Linked DNA regions of Rattus norvegicus. The protein of the gene in region 1 purifies or fractionates together with the protein of each later gene. This does not show direct contact. Links are inferred from orthologs where the notes say so. Each region holds a gene or a part of one and is shown in the gene's direction. Other genes may lie near its edges.

Region 1 (4,097 bases):
GTAAAAAAAATGAAAATAAAATTTTGGTAGAATGACTCATCGTGAGCAGACATATTAATCCTTCTACACACTGAAAAATACAGTATCCACGTGACTCCCCCCTTCAGTCAGTAGTGTTCGTCTTCTATTTCCACCCCAGGTCCTAGAAGAATTACCAATGGATGGCTCTCACATGTTATGTATAAAACTCTGCGCCCTCCTCCCCACCACCAGTATGTTACTCTTGGCTACATAAAGATGTCTTCAATTATATTAATTTCTCTCCTAATTTAATTTCCCACAAAATACATTGGTTCAGGAATTTATCACGTTTCACATGCACAGCTTCCCTGCAAAAACCATGGGACGGCAGACGCACAGTTATTCCCCATGTTTGAAATGGACCTTTTCAATTCTCATGAATGTATCCTTCAAGCGGTGTACAATGTGCACCCTGAGCCTGCAGTTTTGGCCTCTGTGGGAATGTGTGAAAACTCAAACAGCACCCAATCTCACAAAACTGAGATCAGGAGCTCCCTGGATGGAGGATACAAAAGTTTTGTTTTGGTATTTCCTGGACAGCCTCTAGCACCGCCCAGAACCTGGCCATTTCCTCTGTACCTTCTAATGTCACAAATCTCCCGAGTGGGGCTTTCCTAGACCCGGAATACTTTCCTTTCTGGGAACCCTTTCCCAAGCAGCTGGGTTACTGCTGGTCAGGGCTCTCTGGCCACGCCCATGTCCTGGTCTCATTTTACTTTTTGGGTTCCGGTGGATGCCATCTGGCTAGAACCCTGGAGAGAAACTTTAAAGTTGGACTAGGGTTACCCTTACTCCCTTACACCCGTACTCATCAGCTCCCCTAGCTAATCTCTAAAAGCCCTGACTGGTTGGAGACCACCAGGAACAGGCAGAGGGAAATCGGGAAACGAGCATGCCTGTGTCCCCCTGGTGTAGGTCCCCAGCCTACGATCGGCCAGGGTCCAGTGTCCTGGGTCCAGTGTGAAGGCCGCGGTGCTGGGTTCGTTGGGGACTGACCTAGCGATGCAGCTGGCACGGAGCGGTACCCCAGGGCAGGGGAGCAAGAACAGCTTTCAGCCGGGTTGGGCGACCGAGTCCTGGCGGACACGGGAACGTAGGAGCGGCCCGGTTCGGCGCCTCCCGGCTCTGGGCTCCTCCTCCCGCCGGCCGCGGCCCCGGCTGCGTCGCTCCGCCACTCCCCGCCCCGCGCCGCCGCCCCGCCCTCGCCGCCGCCCGGCCTCGCTCGCCCAACCCCACTGCAAGCCGGCCCCAGGCCGCCTCGCCGCCACCCGGCCTCGCTGCGCGCCACCATGGACAGTCCCGTTTTCCCCTGGTAAAGATGGCGGTGCGCGATCGCTGCAACCTTTAGACTAATGACTGTCCGAAACATCGCCTCCATCTGTAATATGGTGAGTGGCCGCCGAGCCTCCGGGGGTCGCGCCCGCAGCGAGCCAGGCAAAGAAAGGGAACCCCGGGCTGGAGCTGCTCGCGCGCCGCGGTCGTGGGGGCCGCGCGGTCAGAAGTTCCCGGCTCTGAGGCTGGGCCAGCTGACCGCAGTCCCCCGCCTCTGTCCCAGCCGGGGACCCTGAAGGGATCCCAGGGATCCCCAGGGCAGCCCCATGCCCCCGCCCTCGAGTTGTGGTGCGGGCGGTGGGTGGGGGTGGAGGGTGCGAGGTGCCGCACACCGCTGTCCCGAGGGAGGACCATGAGGGTGCAAGCCTGGAGTGGGAGGAAGTAGATCCTCCTGGTGCAGTAAATAAACCCTTCCTGGACTCACGGACTGTCCTCTGCTCCTTTTTGGAGTTCAGCCTCGATTGTATTTAAGATTCACTTTGCAATAGCAGTGTTCTTACCAGGAGAAATCGGATAGACATAAAAAAATCCAAGTGAAGAATCTGGCTAGAGAAGCGAACTAAAACCTGGAAAGCACAGCAATTTGTTCTGGAGGCCTCAGTTTCCCCACCTGCATGCAGGAGATTGTAAGGCGGCAGTTAACGTTTGCAGGCCCTAGGAGTGAGGTGACTGTGGGTGTGAGGAAGTCTGCAGGGGTCATCCTGCCCCGCCTCCTCTCCATTTAGCTTGGGCACTGCCTCGCCTGTCTGAGGGGGGCGGGTGGGGGGGCGGGGAGTGTTACCCAGCGGTCACTTTAATTTGGAGTCCCCCCCCCCCCCAACTACCTTCCCGTTCTGTTTAGTTTCCTAGGGACCAGTTCCAACCTTTGGGTCCCCTGAGCGTACTCAGCTGGCACCCCCACTTGTGAGAGCCTCAGGGAGGTCAGTTTGGGGTCAGCATTACCTTTGGTGTGGGGCTTGAGGGTGTGTGCTCTGCCTGTACTCTCTGGATCCTCCTCTCCCTCCCGCTTCGAGCCCCTCCAAACTGGAACACTGCTGGCTGTTGGGTTTTGTTTGTTTGTTTTTGCCATTTTGGAGAACACCCTGCCACCAAGTTAGATAGTCATCCTAGCATACAAAGGGAATCTGAGGAGGTCTGATTAAGTAGGCCTTAGGTAAGGTGATCTGGCTGCCCTTCCCCCATCACACAGCTCTTTAAATCTTCTGTCCCACATTCTGTTGCAAGATCAACACATGGCACAGAGCATGAAGGAGCCATGTGTTAGCTCAGGTGGAGTTGAGACCTGCTGGGGCTGGCTCCAGCTTTCTGCGCTGGTCGCCAAGAGTGATGGTAACTGCCGGCTTGGTACAGGTCTCCTTAGATGACGGGGCCTGTCACCTTGCCATCTCCCCTTTCTGCTTGAAGACACAGGTTTCCTGCTTCTTCCTGTCCGGTGACATTAACGTGGCTGGATGCCCTGAGAAGACAGTGCATTTCTTCTCCGTGTCTCCGCCGTAACCAAGCTCATGTGGAGAACTAGGATACCACAGTAGTTTCAATGCTGTATCTCCTGCCTGTGGGGGTGGCCGCAGGCCTACAGCCTCCCGGGGGCTCAGTGCCTGCTCCTGGTTCTGCTCTTGTCCGGTTTGCTTTCAATGACACCTCTCAGTATTGAAGCCGAGTGGAAACCGGAGAGCAAGCCTGTCCCAAGAGGAAGTCTGCCTCCGGCTTGTTCTTGTCCTTACTGTGGCTAGGACTTCTTGGCACACCTGGACAGAATGTCACAACCTGTTTTCAGTGACACTCAGCCAGGGAGACAGGCTTCTGGGAGGACAGGAGAGGAATGGGCCAATATTGTGTCAGTAGAATAAACACTTCTGGTGACCAAGTTAATTCTCACCCACCCCACCCACCCACCCCATGTCCAATTGTGAAGTAAACCTAATATGTTTCTGTGTAGACACTGTCTTGGGCAAATGGAGAAATGTTTGCATTCTAATGTGAGACTCTAGGTTCGCTCCTGTTTTTGTACTTATTTGTGGGGCTCCTTAGCCCAGGTAGACCTCCAGCATGACATCGCCTGTAAGCACTAGATGACAGACAGAGGTGTTCTGCTCCATCCAGCTTTCAAGTCCCACCTCCAACACCGCTGCCTCGTGCCCTTGAGCACTTTGATAGTCTTTGCCTCAGCTTTCATTTGTAAAAATGGGCCCATAATGGCTGCAACCCAGGGGGGAGTTCCTGGGGTTCTGGGCCCGGTACGTGATAACTTCTCAGTGAGTGGCAGCGGCTGTGGTCAGTACCTTCTTTCTCTTACCTTCCAGTCTGTTTTAGGGGCTGTGAGAATTTGTCTTCTTCTCCTACTTGAGTATAAACAACCCATTGGGTCACTTAGGCAGAGCAAGCTGAATGACTCTGTGGAGGAGCTGGGGTGGGAACTGGAAATCCCGCCCCTTATAAAAGCCGCTCAGGTCACTTCTGCCCCTCCCATTGGCATTTCCCAGAGGAGCAGGCTGGTGCTCAGGAGACTGCTGTCTGTCTGTGCACAGCGGGATAAAGCCTTACTTGAGCATGAACTGTTTCCAGGTAGGTGTCTTCCGAGTCTCTCTGTCACTGGGTTTCTCGCTGAGCCTCTTTCTTGAGCTTTACAACTTTCTCCCTTTGCCCCAGCTGGTATGAGGAGCGGGGAGTACAGGCTGGGACCGCTTGTTTGCTTGTCGTTTGCTTATATTTATTTACTTGACACTGGGTGGCTCACAACCCGG
Region 2 (4,069 bases), on another chromosome or scaffold:
CATCCCTCTTCAACAAAAATGTGTAGCTAACCTAAAACCAAGCTGCCTTGATAGGAATTTCAGTTCTCTCTCTCCTACCAAAGTTTTCTAAAATTAAGGCAGGCTCTGGATAGTATGTAACCCAAAGCCTCGAAAGTGAGTATCTACCTATGTAAAGCTACTATGAGGGTGGCAACTCAATGCACGACGTTTATCAAATATTTCAAATAGTTAATTGCCTCAAACCAGCTTGTTTCAACCAATAAAAAGTAAGTTTATAGATCATACATTGCAACAGTAAGAACTCACACAACATAGTTAAAGCCTAGGTGGTGAGCAGTTTGAGGAAGTATGGAGATCAGACTATACCGAGAAACCTTGTCTCATTCACCCTCTACCCAGCCCCGAGTGTGGAAAGAAAAATCCTGAAAGGACTAAGAGAAAGCAAGTCCCACAATGTCTCCATTCTAATATTTCTCCCTTCGTCTACTGTTTTCTGTTATGTAAGCTTTTACCAACAGGATACAAGGCCCCAAGTCCTTAGCTATTTCTGTCCTAATATGGGAGGGAGTAGATGGGCTTAATTTGAGTGCTTTACAGGAAGCACGTTCAACTATCTTCTAAAGAAGAATTTCCAAACACTGCTAGTTTTCATGGACCATGAAAAAAGTGCGGAAAAAGGAAGACCGGGCCAGCGATCCTGTGAACTGTGTATTTTTGTCTCATTCAAAGGCCTTACCTAGAGTTTAGAGTCCCTGAAAGCTCTCAATCTCAATTAGCCAGGAAAATAAAACTCATCTGGCAAACGGTAGAGAAGCGAGTTAATGAAAAACGTTCACAGGACACAGAGTTCAACAGCAGAGGGCACAATACCCACTAGCTAGGGCCAGAAGCTGGAAGAGAGGGAGGGCAGAATCTGACGATATCTGGGTCTTGTAGTTCGCTATTGGTCTCCATTGGAGGCTCGCCCAGGAGATGAACTACAACCCCCACTGTGCAACGCGAGCCCCTCTCGCCAGCTCTCGTCTATGGCGAGGACAAACCTCCTGGGAAACAGTTCTGCCCCACCCCCATACGCACGCGTCACGTTTGTTTACCCTGAGGCCCCGCCCCCAGCCTCCCGCTCTCCCCAGAAATGTCGTCATGCTAACGATGCATATTCATGAGCAACTCCGCCCCGCCACCGCCCGCCTTCCCGCGCTTCATTAATATTCATGAGTGAGGTCGGGCCGCAGCTCCGGGGAGCTCAGGCTGACGGGCAGCGGGCGGGGCCTGGCGCTGGGGAGCCCCGGACCAGCGGGGAGGGTGTGTGTGGGGGGGGCGGTGGCGGCGAAACGGGCGGGCGGCGCGCGGGATGGAACACCGAGACACCGACGGAATGCTCCGGATCGCCACATAATCCTCTGGAACAGCCGCGCCGAACGCCATCGGCGTCTCCGTTCTCCGCGCGCCGCTGCCGCCGCCGTCTCCCACCTTCGCCTCACCTCCTCCTCCTCCGCTGCCTCCGGAGCTGGGGGGGCGACGTGAAACCCCGCTACGATGGAGCCCGCCGCCGCAGCCCCGGCACAGCGACTCGCGGACCCCACGGGTGAGGACCGAGCCCCGGCGGCGGCGGCGGCGGCCGAGGGCGGACGGAGTCCGGATTCTGTGCTGAGCGCGGCGGCCCCGAGCGGCGGGAACGGCGGCGCGGCGCGAGAGGAGGCCCCCTGCGAGGCGCCGCCGGGGCCGCTGCCCGGCCGCGCGGGAGGCACCGGACGCAGGCGTCGGCGCGGGGTGCCCCAGCCCGCGGCCGGCGGGGCCGCCCCGGTGACCGCGGCCGGCGGCGGCGCCAACTCGCTGCTGCTGAGGAGAGGGCGGCTGAAGAGGAATCTGTCGGCCGCCGCTTCGTCGTCCTCATCGCCGTCCTCGGCGTCTTCGGCCGCTGGCGGCCTCCCGGCGTCCTGCTCGGCCTCGGCGTCGCTGTGCACCCGGAGTCTGGACAGGAAGACGCTGCTCCAGAAGCACCGGCAGCTGCTTCAGCTGCAGCCGTCGGACCGGGACTGGGTGAGGCACCAGCTCCAGCGGGGCTGTGTGCACGTCTTTGACCGCCACATGGCCTCGTCCTACCTGCGCCCAGTGCTCTGCACGCTGGACACCACAGCCGCCGAGGTGGCCGCCCGGCTTCTGCAGCTGGGCCACAAAGGCGGCGGGGTGGTGAAGGTGCTGGGCCACGGGCCACCTCCGGCCGCTGCCCCGGCCGCCAGCGATCAGACCCCGGCCACAGAGCTCGGAAGAGACGTGGAGCCACCGCCCTCGAGCAGCACGGTCGGTGCTGTCCGGGGCCCTGCGCGCGCGCCTCCTGCCGATCTGCCGCTGCCCGGGGGCGCCTGGACGCGCTGTGCACCTCGGGTCAACCCTGCGCCCTCGGACTCCAGCCCCGGAGAGCTGTTCGCGGGCGGCCCCTGTTCCCCGTCCCGCGCCCCGCGCCCGGCCTCCGACACCGAGAGCTTCAGCCTGAGCCCCAGCGCCGAGAGCGTGTCAGACCGGCTGGACCCCTATAGCAGCGGCGGCGGCTCCTCCTCTTCGTCCGAGGAACTAGAAGCTGACCCGGCCACGGTCTTGACGGGGCCTTCCGGGCCGCCCCACCACCCAGTCCGCTCCTCACAGCCTCGACCGCCTTCCCCGAAGACCTCGGCGTTACTGCAGCCGAAAGCCCCGACGGGCGTAGACGGCACTGGCCTAGTGGTGGGCGAAGGTCCCGGAGACGACAAGGCGGTGGCAGCTGCAGCTCCAGGCGTTCCTCTGTGGACTCCAGGGAGGATCCGGGAGACCGTGCAAAAGACGTCTTCTCCGCCCTCCCTGTATGTACAGCTCCATGGGGAGACTACCCGGCGCCTGGAGGCGGACGAGAAGCCATTGCAGATCCAAAATGACTACCTCTTCCAACTGGGATTTGGGGAGCTGTGGAGGGTGCAGGAGGAAGGCATGGATTCGGAGATTGGCTGCCTCATCCGATTCTATGCAGGTAAGGAAGTTGCATGCATGTTTCTGTATAGCGGCTTCGAACCCTGGCCCGGACCGATAAATGATTCGAGGGGCCTGGTGAGTCTGGCAGTCTTTTCTAGCTGGTTCACATGCTGTTTGTGCAAGTACTAAATTCAGTATTCTTTAAATCTGCACTTTTTAGTGTCCAGGTCTGAGGTTGGAAAGCCGGGTGGACGAGGTGGCAAAGTCACCTGGAAATACAGGAAACACCTAAGAGGGGTACGGGTCCTTAACTGTAAAGGTGGTTTCCTCCAGGCCTCTGCTCTCGTTGGGTTGCAGGCGGTTTGGGATTCCAGGTAACACATTAATATAGACAGAGGACAATGACCAACGGAAAGTGTTCCATGATGCCTTCCCTATTCAGCTGTCCACAGTTTACCATTCATAGACAAGGCAGTGTGTGTGGGCCTCTGGGGCTGTGCTCTTGTCAACTGATGCTCCTGTTCCACCGTCTGCCACGCTTCTTTGCTCACTGAGTTCTTGTAGACACCCGAGAAGTGTGTGTGTATGTTTGTTGTTTTGAGTGTTGCTCACCTTCGGCGTTTTTAATTACTTTATTTCACTTTCCAAGTTTGAATCTTGCATAAAAGATGAGTTGGCCTGCTTCTGTCTTGCAGCCTTTATTGTCAGAACTGCGACAGGACTTGAAACAGACTAGACTTAGTAATGTCGGTGATTACTGCCTCTGATGTGACCTGAACTCTAGCAGTATTTTAGTATCTGTTCAAGTGCTTGTCCAGGGGTGACCAGTCAGTTTCTCCCTTGCCTGGAGTCTTGGCTGGAACTAAGTCGTGGAGTTACATGGCTACTGGGTATTGTTTTTGAGCTTTGTAAGCTACTCGAACTCTGGTTGAAAGGGATTTTAGTGGTCAGAACTTCTGTTTGAAATAAGGTTAGCTTAGGAGAATTAAGACTTTCAGTTTTATATTGTAGGTGCATATACTAACAACCCATGATGCCCACAGAGCTTCTTCCACAGCTAGAGGTTTTTAGTCCAGCATGTGTCCTAGTTGCAGTTTAATTTGAATGAATTGGTCTTTAACACCCACATTGATATATGCAAGAC
Region 3 (4,088 bases), on another chromosome or scaffold:
AGCCAGAACTAGAGACCTTGTCTCACAAAAGGGTGGTGGGGAGGGGGCAAAACAAAACAAAATTTTCTTCTGTTGCTGGGATAAAACATAAAATACTTCGACAAAGGGCAGCTTAGGGGAGAAAGAGCTATTTCAGTTTGCAATTCCTGGTCACTGTCCATCAGGGTAGGGAAATCAAGGCAAGGAGGTCGCCAGAGTAGACCAGAAAGAAGGAATCCATGTGTGTTTGCTTCCTTGTGCAGCCTGCCTCTCCACTCTTTTTTTTTTCTTTTCTTTTCTTTTTTTCGGAGCTGGGGACCGAACCCAGGGCCTTGTGCTTGCTAGGCAAGTGCTCTACCGCTGAGCTAAATCCCCAGCCCCCTGCCTCTCCACTCTTACACAGTTCCGGACCCCCAGACTAGGGAATGGCGCCTCCCACAATGGACTGGGTCTTCCTGTATCAGTTAATGCATTCTCCCACATCCACATCTACAGGCCAACCCAATGTAGACTGTTCCTCACTGTAATTCTAGGTAGATAAGGTAGCAAAATTGACAAGGTAACAACCATCATCACCAAAACAAAACTGGAAGGCAAAGTCAGAAAGGTCACAGATGGCTACACTTCACTCTGACAGCAGCAGAGGACCACAGGTGTCAGTGAGAAGGGAGGAGACTTTAGTCTGCCAGTCAAATATTGAAGGGCAAAATACTGTTGAGCATCTAAAATGAAACGAGAAGCTGAGGGTGGTGTCTCAGGCCTGAAATCCAAGCACTCCTGGAGACAGACCCCAGAGGTTGGGTCAAGTTTGAAGACAGCCTGGGCTACAAGTGTGAGACCAAACAAAGGTCAGTAAAATGCTTGCTGCCAAGCATGAGGACCTGCATTCCATCCTTAGAATCCACATAGTGGAAGGGCACTTGGCTCTTTCTGACCTCTATATGCTCATCCACGCACAAATACACGCAAAAATAAATGCAATATTTTTTAATTAAAAAAAAAAAAAAAAACAGACAAGAATCGCCTGGAGTCAGCAGTAACAACACGAGGATTCTGAATAGGCTTTGAGGTTTCTCCGTTGCTGGGCAAACGGTTCCCAGGGCGATGTTGTTAGGGTCTAGGGGCGTTCCCAACAGTCACGCCTCGTAGCCAACCACACGCGAGCATCTGTCGCGTCGACCACGCCTACATCTTGCCCCCCCCCCCACAGTTCCAGAACCGTTACCTCAGCAACTGTCCCGGCTCCTCCCGCCTCCGCGTCTGGGTGCCAATCGTAGAGGCGTCACCCGGACGACGACCCTACCCCTTCCGGTGCCAGCCCTGCAACTTCCGGCTGGGGGGTCGGGCGGTGGGCGGTCTGGCTGCGGCGCAGCCCGGGGGGCGGCCAAGATGGCGGCGGGCGGCGCGGAGGGCGGCCCGGGCCCCAGCGCCGCCATGGGTGACTGCGCGGAGATCAAGTCGCAGTTTCGCACCCGCGAGGGCTTCTACAAGCTGCTTCCCGGCGATGCGACGCGCAGGTCCGGCCCGACCTCCGCTCAGACCCCGGCGCCGCCTCAGCCCACTCAGCCCCCGCCAGGGCCCGCCTCAGCCTCCGGGCCTGGCGCCGCAGGTCCCGCATCGTCCCCGCCGCCCGCTGGCCCTGGGCCCGGGCCCGCGCTGCCCGCTGTCCGCCTCAGCCTGGTGCGCCTAGGCGACCCCGATGGCACTGGGGAGCCGCCCTCCACGCCCTCGGGATTGGGCGCGGGAGGAGACCGCGTCTGCTTCAACCTGGGCCGTGAGCTTTACTTTTATCCCGGCTGCTGCCGCCGCGGGAGCCAACGGGTGAGTGAGTGCTCCGCTTTGTGGGGACTTGGGTGCCGATAGCATCGGGGTCCCAGAATGACAGAAGGACCCGAGGTTGGGCATCCCAGGGGAACCTGGATTCTGGAGCTAATGGAGTCAGTCCTAAGAGGTTGCAGGGCAATCTTTGCGTGGGGGTTCTTGGGGGTGGTAAGTTAGTGTTCAGGATGTGATGGGGCTTCTGGGAGGAAATGGGGGAGGGGGCCACGGATTCTGAGGTGACAGGCATTCTGCAGGCAATGGGGAATCCTAGGAGGATGCAGGCCGGGGTGGGGGTTGGGGGGATGGAGAACAGAGAAGTACATACTGCATTCTGGGCCTGTTGGGGGGAGACTTAAGACTTGTCATACCCAGGAGTGACAGGATTTGTAAGTGATGGAAGTCTTACGGACAAAAGGCAGGGAGGACTTGGTGTGTAGCAAAGTAACAGGTGAATGTGCTCCAAAGAATATGATGTCTAATGGCTTTGGAAGAACTGATGGGAGTTTTGAATTGATGGGGTTCCTGGCCGGGGACATCCCCAGGTGTGACAGACATCTGTAAAGCAATCCTAGAAGGGGGGGGGGCAAAGTGAGGGAGTAGAGGAGACAGAGATGGGGATTTTGAGAATGCAGTGGTGATTGTGTACCCCAAATATGAGGGGTTGTAATGACTGATGGCTGTCTGAACTATGACAGAAGTCCTGGAGTTTAGGGACTCCAGATTGAACAAAATGTGAGTTTTGAAAGCATGAGGACCTGAGTTTGGATCCCTGTACCCCATGTAAAAGGCTGCTGCTGTGTGAGTCTGTAACCCAAATTTGGAGAGCACAGAGGCAGAAGGACCCTGGTTTTACTGGCAGCTAGTCTAGCTGAATTGGTGAGCTCCAGGTTGAGTGAGAGACCCTGTGTCAAATGTAAGATGCAAAGCCACAGAGAAAGATGCTCAATGTTGGCCTCTGACCTCTACATCCACATACATAACGCACAACGACCACACAGGTGTATATACTACATGTACATGTAGAAAATAATGAAAGAAATCCTAAGGTGTTGGAATTTTTGAGTCCTTGGATCTTGGAGGTCTTAGAATATTGTCCTCCTGGAGCTGCTACTGTGATGGTGGCAGGGAAGGATGGTGGAGTCAGCTCCAGGCCAGGGGACTCTGATCCCTGACACTGTGGGCAAGTGTCCCTAAATTACAATGGAAAGGCTCTGTGGTCTTTCCTGGGTAGTGTGTGATTGTGTGCATGTGAGCATGTGTGTGCTGTCCTTCTGGGTTGAGAGGAATCCCCTCCCAGCCTGTGGTTGCCTGTTCCTCCCCACCCACCTCCCCACTTCCCTCGAGGTTAACCCTGCTTCCTCTTGGTGGTTTTCCCTGACCTCAGCTCCCTCTTCCTTCCTCTCCCCGCTCTAACCCATTAACTCGTCTTCTCCCATGGTTCAAGTCCATTGATCTCAACAAGCCCATCGACAAGAGGATCTACAAGGGGACCCAGCCCACCTGCCACGACTTCAACCAGTTCACAGCTGCCACAGAGACCATTTCCCTGCTGGTGGGCTTCTCTGCCGGCCAGGTGCAGTATCTGGACCTCATCAAGAAAGACACCAGCAAGCTATTCAATGAAGAGGTGATTGAGGACTTGAACTGTTCCTTTCTCATTATCTATCCTGCACTAAACTGCCTGGAAATAGAGTAGGCTTGAGAGGGGCAGGATGAAGGGGAGAGGAACGAATGACTGACAGCCATGACAGCCATTGATGTCACCATTGTGTGTACAATCTATCAGTTTTCTGCTGAGCCAGCCCTATGCTGAAAGAATGCTTTACTGCTTGGGTTCTTATCTTCTGATGCATAAGAAAATATGGTGCCCATCTCACAGATTAGAAGACTGAGGCTCATAGTCACTTGGGATGTTTTGATATTCTCTCTAGTTTCAAATTCTGGGCTCTTTGGGCTTTGGATTCTAGTTCCTCCTATATTACTGACTTACTGTGTGGTTTTGGAAAAGTGTGTTGTCTGAGCCTTAGTTTTCTTAGGATTTGTGTCCTCTTATTCACAAGGACTGCTTGGTTGGGCTAGCCTGGCTTCAAAGGAGCCCGGAGACCTTAGAAGCAGCAGGGAGGGCCTTGTGCTCTGTCATACTGACTCTGGTCCAGGGGAGGTGAGCCACAAATGTTCTCAGAATAAGCAAGTGGCTGAAGGGCGTGAAGCAGCAGAGCAATGGGTGCATTAGAGACTCACATGCCCGTTCACAGCACAGTGGTCCCTCCTGTGCAAGTCTCTATCCA
Region 4 (4,115 bases), on another chromosome or scaffold:
GAGCAGTTTAATGCTCATAATCACCTTTTGGGAAATCTAGCATTTCAGAATTACGGTGGCTACTATGAGTCTTTAATATGAGTTAGGTTCTGTGTGTTTTGCCCACGGCACCTTGATAATTGCCAGGCAGATGTTACTCTAGTTCATTCACCCCTTAGAAACCAAGGCAAGGGGGTTGGGGATTTAGCTCAGTGGTAGAGCGCTTGCCTAGGAAGCGCAAGGCCCTGGGTTCGGTCCCCAGCTCCGAAAAAAAAAAAAAAAAAAAGAACCAAAAAGAAAAAAAAAAAAAAAAAAAAAAGAAACCAAGGCAAGGCTCTGGAGAGATGGCTCAGTGGTTCAGAGCACTGGTTGCTCTTCCAGAGGACCCAGGTTCAACTCCCAGCGCTCACCTGGCAACTTATAACCATCTGTAACTCCTGGTCCAGAGGATCTGACACCCTCTTCAGGCCTCTGTCACAGGCATACACGTGTTCCGTTAAGATAACGGAAGAGCCACTAGAGCTGGGCAGAGTGGTGCACGTCTGCACTTTGAACGGGGAGACAGGAGAATCTAAAAGTTCAAGGCCAGTGTTGGGTATATAGTGAGTTTGGGTGTGCCTGGGTTACATGTAATTTTCTGTCTCAAAAGAAAAAAAAAATCAGAGATCAAGTAATTTGTACAAGTATAGATCTAAGAATGAGTACAACTGAGATTTGGAATTAGGCAAACTCATAATTTGGCCCACTAACCACAAAACTACTATCACTCCAGGAACTTTTAAAACATTCTTTGCTGAATTAAGCCTTGCAAACTAGAAAGAGGGGCTTACACACCACGTTACTGTTTAAGAACGAGAAAGGAAATCTGGTACTTTGATTACAGGAAAAGGACACCGAAGTGTGGCTGGACAGCTTATTGTTTGATGAAGAAGGTCGCCAGCTATCCTAAGAGGTGAGTATAAACAACAGTTCTTTCACCGCCAGTGGGTGCCGGGGAGGTGGGGGGAGCACCTTTGGGAGCAGGAAACGTCTTGGATGGAGAATTCCAGCGCCGCCCGTGGTGAAGGGTTGTATCTTGTCTATCTTACAGGTGCAGGCCTTACCTGTCTCTTCCTCTGGCCGCTCCTTGGAGGACTCAAAAAGAACCAAATTGCTCTAGTCCTCTGAGCTCAGGGCAACGGAGGCTCAACCTGCAGTGGCGCCAGCCTCCCACAATTCTGCTCCGGCCTCTAGCCAGGCCCACGACTACGCAGGTCCAGAGGGGCCAGGGGCGGGGCTGAAGGAGGCAGAGCGTCTTAGTTAGGGGCGGGGTCTAGGCGGAGGGGCGAGGCCTCCCGCTGCTCGCGCGCGCCTCCGAGGCTCTCGCTGTCGCGCCGGCCGAGCGTCTCTGTAAAGCCTTGGCCGCCAATGGGGGAGGTGGAGCCCGTGCCCGCGGGCTCGCTGGAGCCCCCGGAGCCACCTGAAGCGGCGGCGCCTCGCCGGCCCGGAGGTATTCGGGTCCTAAAGGTGAGTCGGCAGGGAGAGGGAGGAAGCAAGAGGGCCGTGGCCGCCTTCGCCTAGCTGCCCGAGGCAGCGGGCGACCCCCGCCCTGCGTCCCTGGGCCGCTTGCACTTGGCCGAGCCGCCACGGGCCTGCTGTGGGCCTCCGTGCCGCGCCCCCGCCCGGGCCTCGGCCGCCTGGGTCCGCGGCGCTGTCCATCCCTGACCGCCGCCCGGCAGGCCCACGCCTTCAGGCAGCCGCTGCCCCCACCCTCCTTCCTCCCCACATCCCCCGGACCGCCGTCGTTTCGCTGGGCCTAGCCCGGGGCCCTGGGACCGGTTCCGAGGGGCTCCAAGGGCGGGCCGCGCCTGGCGGGAGTCAGGCGGCGAGTACGCAGGGTTCGGCGGACACCTGAAGACATCACCCCAGCCGGAGGATGGCGGCGGCGATTGGCCAGGCGCTGCGGTGTGCGCGGGCTGCGCCGGCGAGAGCGGCCACGCTGCCCTCGGGACTGGCTACCGAGTTCCGAACCGGCTCTCAGCTCCAAGACGCGACACCCGGAGCTTCCCGCTTGGGGACAGCCCCCGAGGATCTGCTGCCTGAGAACCCGCTGGGCGTGTTGCAGGGGTTGGGGGGCGGGGAGGAGCAGAGCCCGAAGGGGCACTCCTGCTTGGCTGACAATCCGGGGAGAAGGCAGTGGGGGAGCCGTTATGCAACAGGCAGCTTAAGCGGGGCTTTTTGGTAGAATGGGGGAATAGGAGGATAGGAAAACAGATGCAGGGGGAAGGGGAGTGAAGCCTTGAAGGTGAGTGATGACAAGAAGTTTCTATGCAGGAAGAATGCAGAAGGTGAGGCGAGGTCACCAGAGATGGTTAAAGGGTGGCTAACTGGGTGGAGTTCTCTACTAACCTCTGAAATAGTGCAGAGACATTTGTCCGTAGGTTCAGTATATAAACGAAGTGGAATAGTGGAATGGAATTCCTCTGGAGCACTAGAGGAGCAGGATCTAAACTTGCCAAAGAGGAAGAGAGAGAAAATTGAGATTCATTGTGTTTCAAAAACAGTATGCCAGACATCGAAGATGCTTAATGTTAAAAGCAAACATTAAGTGATTAGTGATTAAATGAGATTGTGGTTGAGTGATATTTCCTTTTATTAAGATTATTAGTAGAGTAGCACAAAAATGGGGAACGGCAGGAAAGTGGATTTGTTGCACTCAGTGAATTCATGAAACCAAGACTTAAATATTATTTTCTAGCACCTCCCAGTTTTAGTGCATAGTTAATTTTAGATTACTTCATAACTGTTACCCACATTGGAATTTACTCTAGCATAAATCGAAGTGTAATCATTCAGAGCCAATAGCAAACTGTAAATTGTGAGTGGATTCAATAAAAACAAAAGTTCTGTAGGCCTCACTTATGAGGAAGTAGTTTTGATATCAAATGTCTTTTGGTATGCAAGAGATGAGCAAATTTTCAAAAACCTTTTATTTTAACGTTTTTGGGTCATGTTGGAGTGGCAAATTGTATGAATGAAAATCTTTATTGAAGACTGCCTTTCCCTAGCTCCCTAAGTTCCCGTGTTGGGATTATTCGAAAGTCTCCAGTGGTTGGTCAGTCTTGATTCTTGGTCAGTTCTGAGCTCTTGCCATGAAAGCCTTTCTGGAAGGCCTTTCTGTTTCCTGCAGTGGTTGACAGGTCCTCGTGAATAAGCAGAATGGTCATGGAAACAGGTCTCTGTGTTCTACTAGCAGGAGGTTCTCTGGAGTTACTGAGTGGTTCCCTCTCTCAGGGGTAGCCTATAAAGAGTACAGAGGTGAGCAGAAGATGCTCTGAACCTTGAAGAATGTCATGTTTGCCTACATGTGTTTCTCTGGGGATGTTTGTAAAGACTTCTCTAGCCTAGGGGTATGGCTCTGGGTTAGGAGTGTAGCTCGGCGGTCAGCTTCCAGTGTCCAAATTCTCTGGTTTTATTCCTCAGCCTAAGCATCAAAAAAAGTTATAAAAGGTGGTGCATGTCTTTAGTCTTAGGACTTGGGAAGCAGAGGCAGGCAGATCCCTGAGTTCCAGGACAGCCTAGTCTACAGAGTTCCAGGATAGCCAGGGATACAGAGGGAAACCCTGTCTTGTAAAACAAAACAAAGAAACAGACTTTTTATTCCTTTATACTTACACCCAAATCATGAACATTATTCTCAACTTTTCATAAGAAGGTCTTCATAAAAAGCCTGACATAACTGAGCCAACATAATTTATCCAGACTTCATCAAGGACCATAGGACACTGGAACACCTTATTCTAAATACACTCCTAAACCAAGGCTCTGGACTCATACCTGTGGCCTCAGCTATTACGAAGGCTGACATGAGATCATACTTAAGCCTCAGGGGCGAAGGCTAGCCTGAGCAACATAGAGTGTATGTCAGAGTTCTAGAACTTTCTCAAGTTACTGACTCAAGCTCAAAAGGTTTTCAGATGTTTCCTATGATTTTGAGGTTATGGTTTAGTTTAATCAATCAGGAGATGGATGACAGGAAGTTATAGGGAATCTACACTGTGAATATTATTTGTTTTTTCTTTAAGAATAGTTTTATATTTTTATCAAAATAAATGTTTTGAAATTGCTTTTATGTGCATGTTGTGTGTGTGTTGCAT

The links.
Region 2: the proteins of Usp46 (region 1) and Phlpp1 purify together in Homo sapiens (affinity purification with mass spectrometry; 7 studies listed by BioGRID and IntAct, counting the BioPlex papers as one, with this or other methods). This does not show direct contact. The link is inferred for Rattus norvegicus from reciprocal best matches to the Homo sapiens genes USP46 and PHLPP1.
Region 3: the proteins of Usp46 (region 1) and Dmwd purify together in Homo sapiens (affinity purification with mass spectrometry; 5 studies listed by BioGRID and IntAct, counting the BioPlex papers as one, with this or other methods). This does not show direct contact. The link is inferred for Rattus norvegicus from reciprocal best matches to the Homo sapiens genes USP46 and DMWD.
Region 4: the proteins of Usp46 (region 1) and Phlpp2 purify together in Homo sapiens (affinity purification with mass spectrometry; 4 studies listed by BioGRID and IntAct, counting the BioPlex papers as one, with this or other methods). This does not show direct contact. The link is inferred for Rattus norvegicus from reciprocal best matches to the Homo sapiens genes USP46 and PHLPP2.

The regions. Positions count from the first base shown.
Region 1 is NC_086032.1:34,502,853-34,506,949, forward strand, and holds the start of Usp46 (ubiquitin carboxyl-terminal hydrolase 46), read left to right. Parts: upstream 1-1,297; 5' UTR 1,298-1,373; coding exon 1,374-1,409; intron 1,410-3,738; exon of another isoform or gene 3,739-3,903; coding exon of another isoform or gene 3,904-3,918; intron 3,919-4,097. UniProt on the Homo sapiens protein: Deubiquitinating enzyme that plays a role in behavior, possibly by regulating GABA action. May act by mediating the deubiquitination of GAD1/GAD67.
Region 2 is NC_086031.1:22,821,863-22,825,931, forward strand, and holds the start of Phlpp1 (PH domain leucine-rich repeat protein phosphatase 1), read left to right. Parts: upstream 1-1,269; 5' UTR 1,270-1,518; coding exon 1,519-2,983; intron 2,984-4,069. UniProt on the Homo sapiens protein: Protein phosphatase involved in regulation of Akt and PKC signaling.
Region 3 is NC_086019.1:87,849,253-87,853,340, forward strand, and holds the start of Dmwd (dystrophia myotonica WD repeat-containing protein), read left to right. Parts: upstream 1-1,288; 5' UTR 1,289-1,368; coding exon 1,369-1,800; intron 1,801-3,244; coding exon 3,245-3,427; intron 3,428-4,088. UniProt on the Homo sapiens protein: Regulator of the deubiquitinating USP12/DMWD/WDR48 complex. Functions as a cofactor that promotes USP12 enzymatic activity.
Region 4 is NC_086037.1:54,743,266-54,747,380, forward strand, and holds the start of Phlpp2 (PH domain leucine-rich repeat-containing protein phosphatase 2), read left to right. Parts: upstream 1-1,315; 5' UTR 1,316-1,386; coding exon 1,387-1,485; intron 1,486-4,115. UniProt on the Homo sapiens protein: Protein phosphatase involved in regulation of Akt and PKC signaling.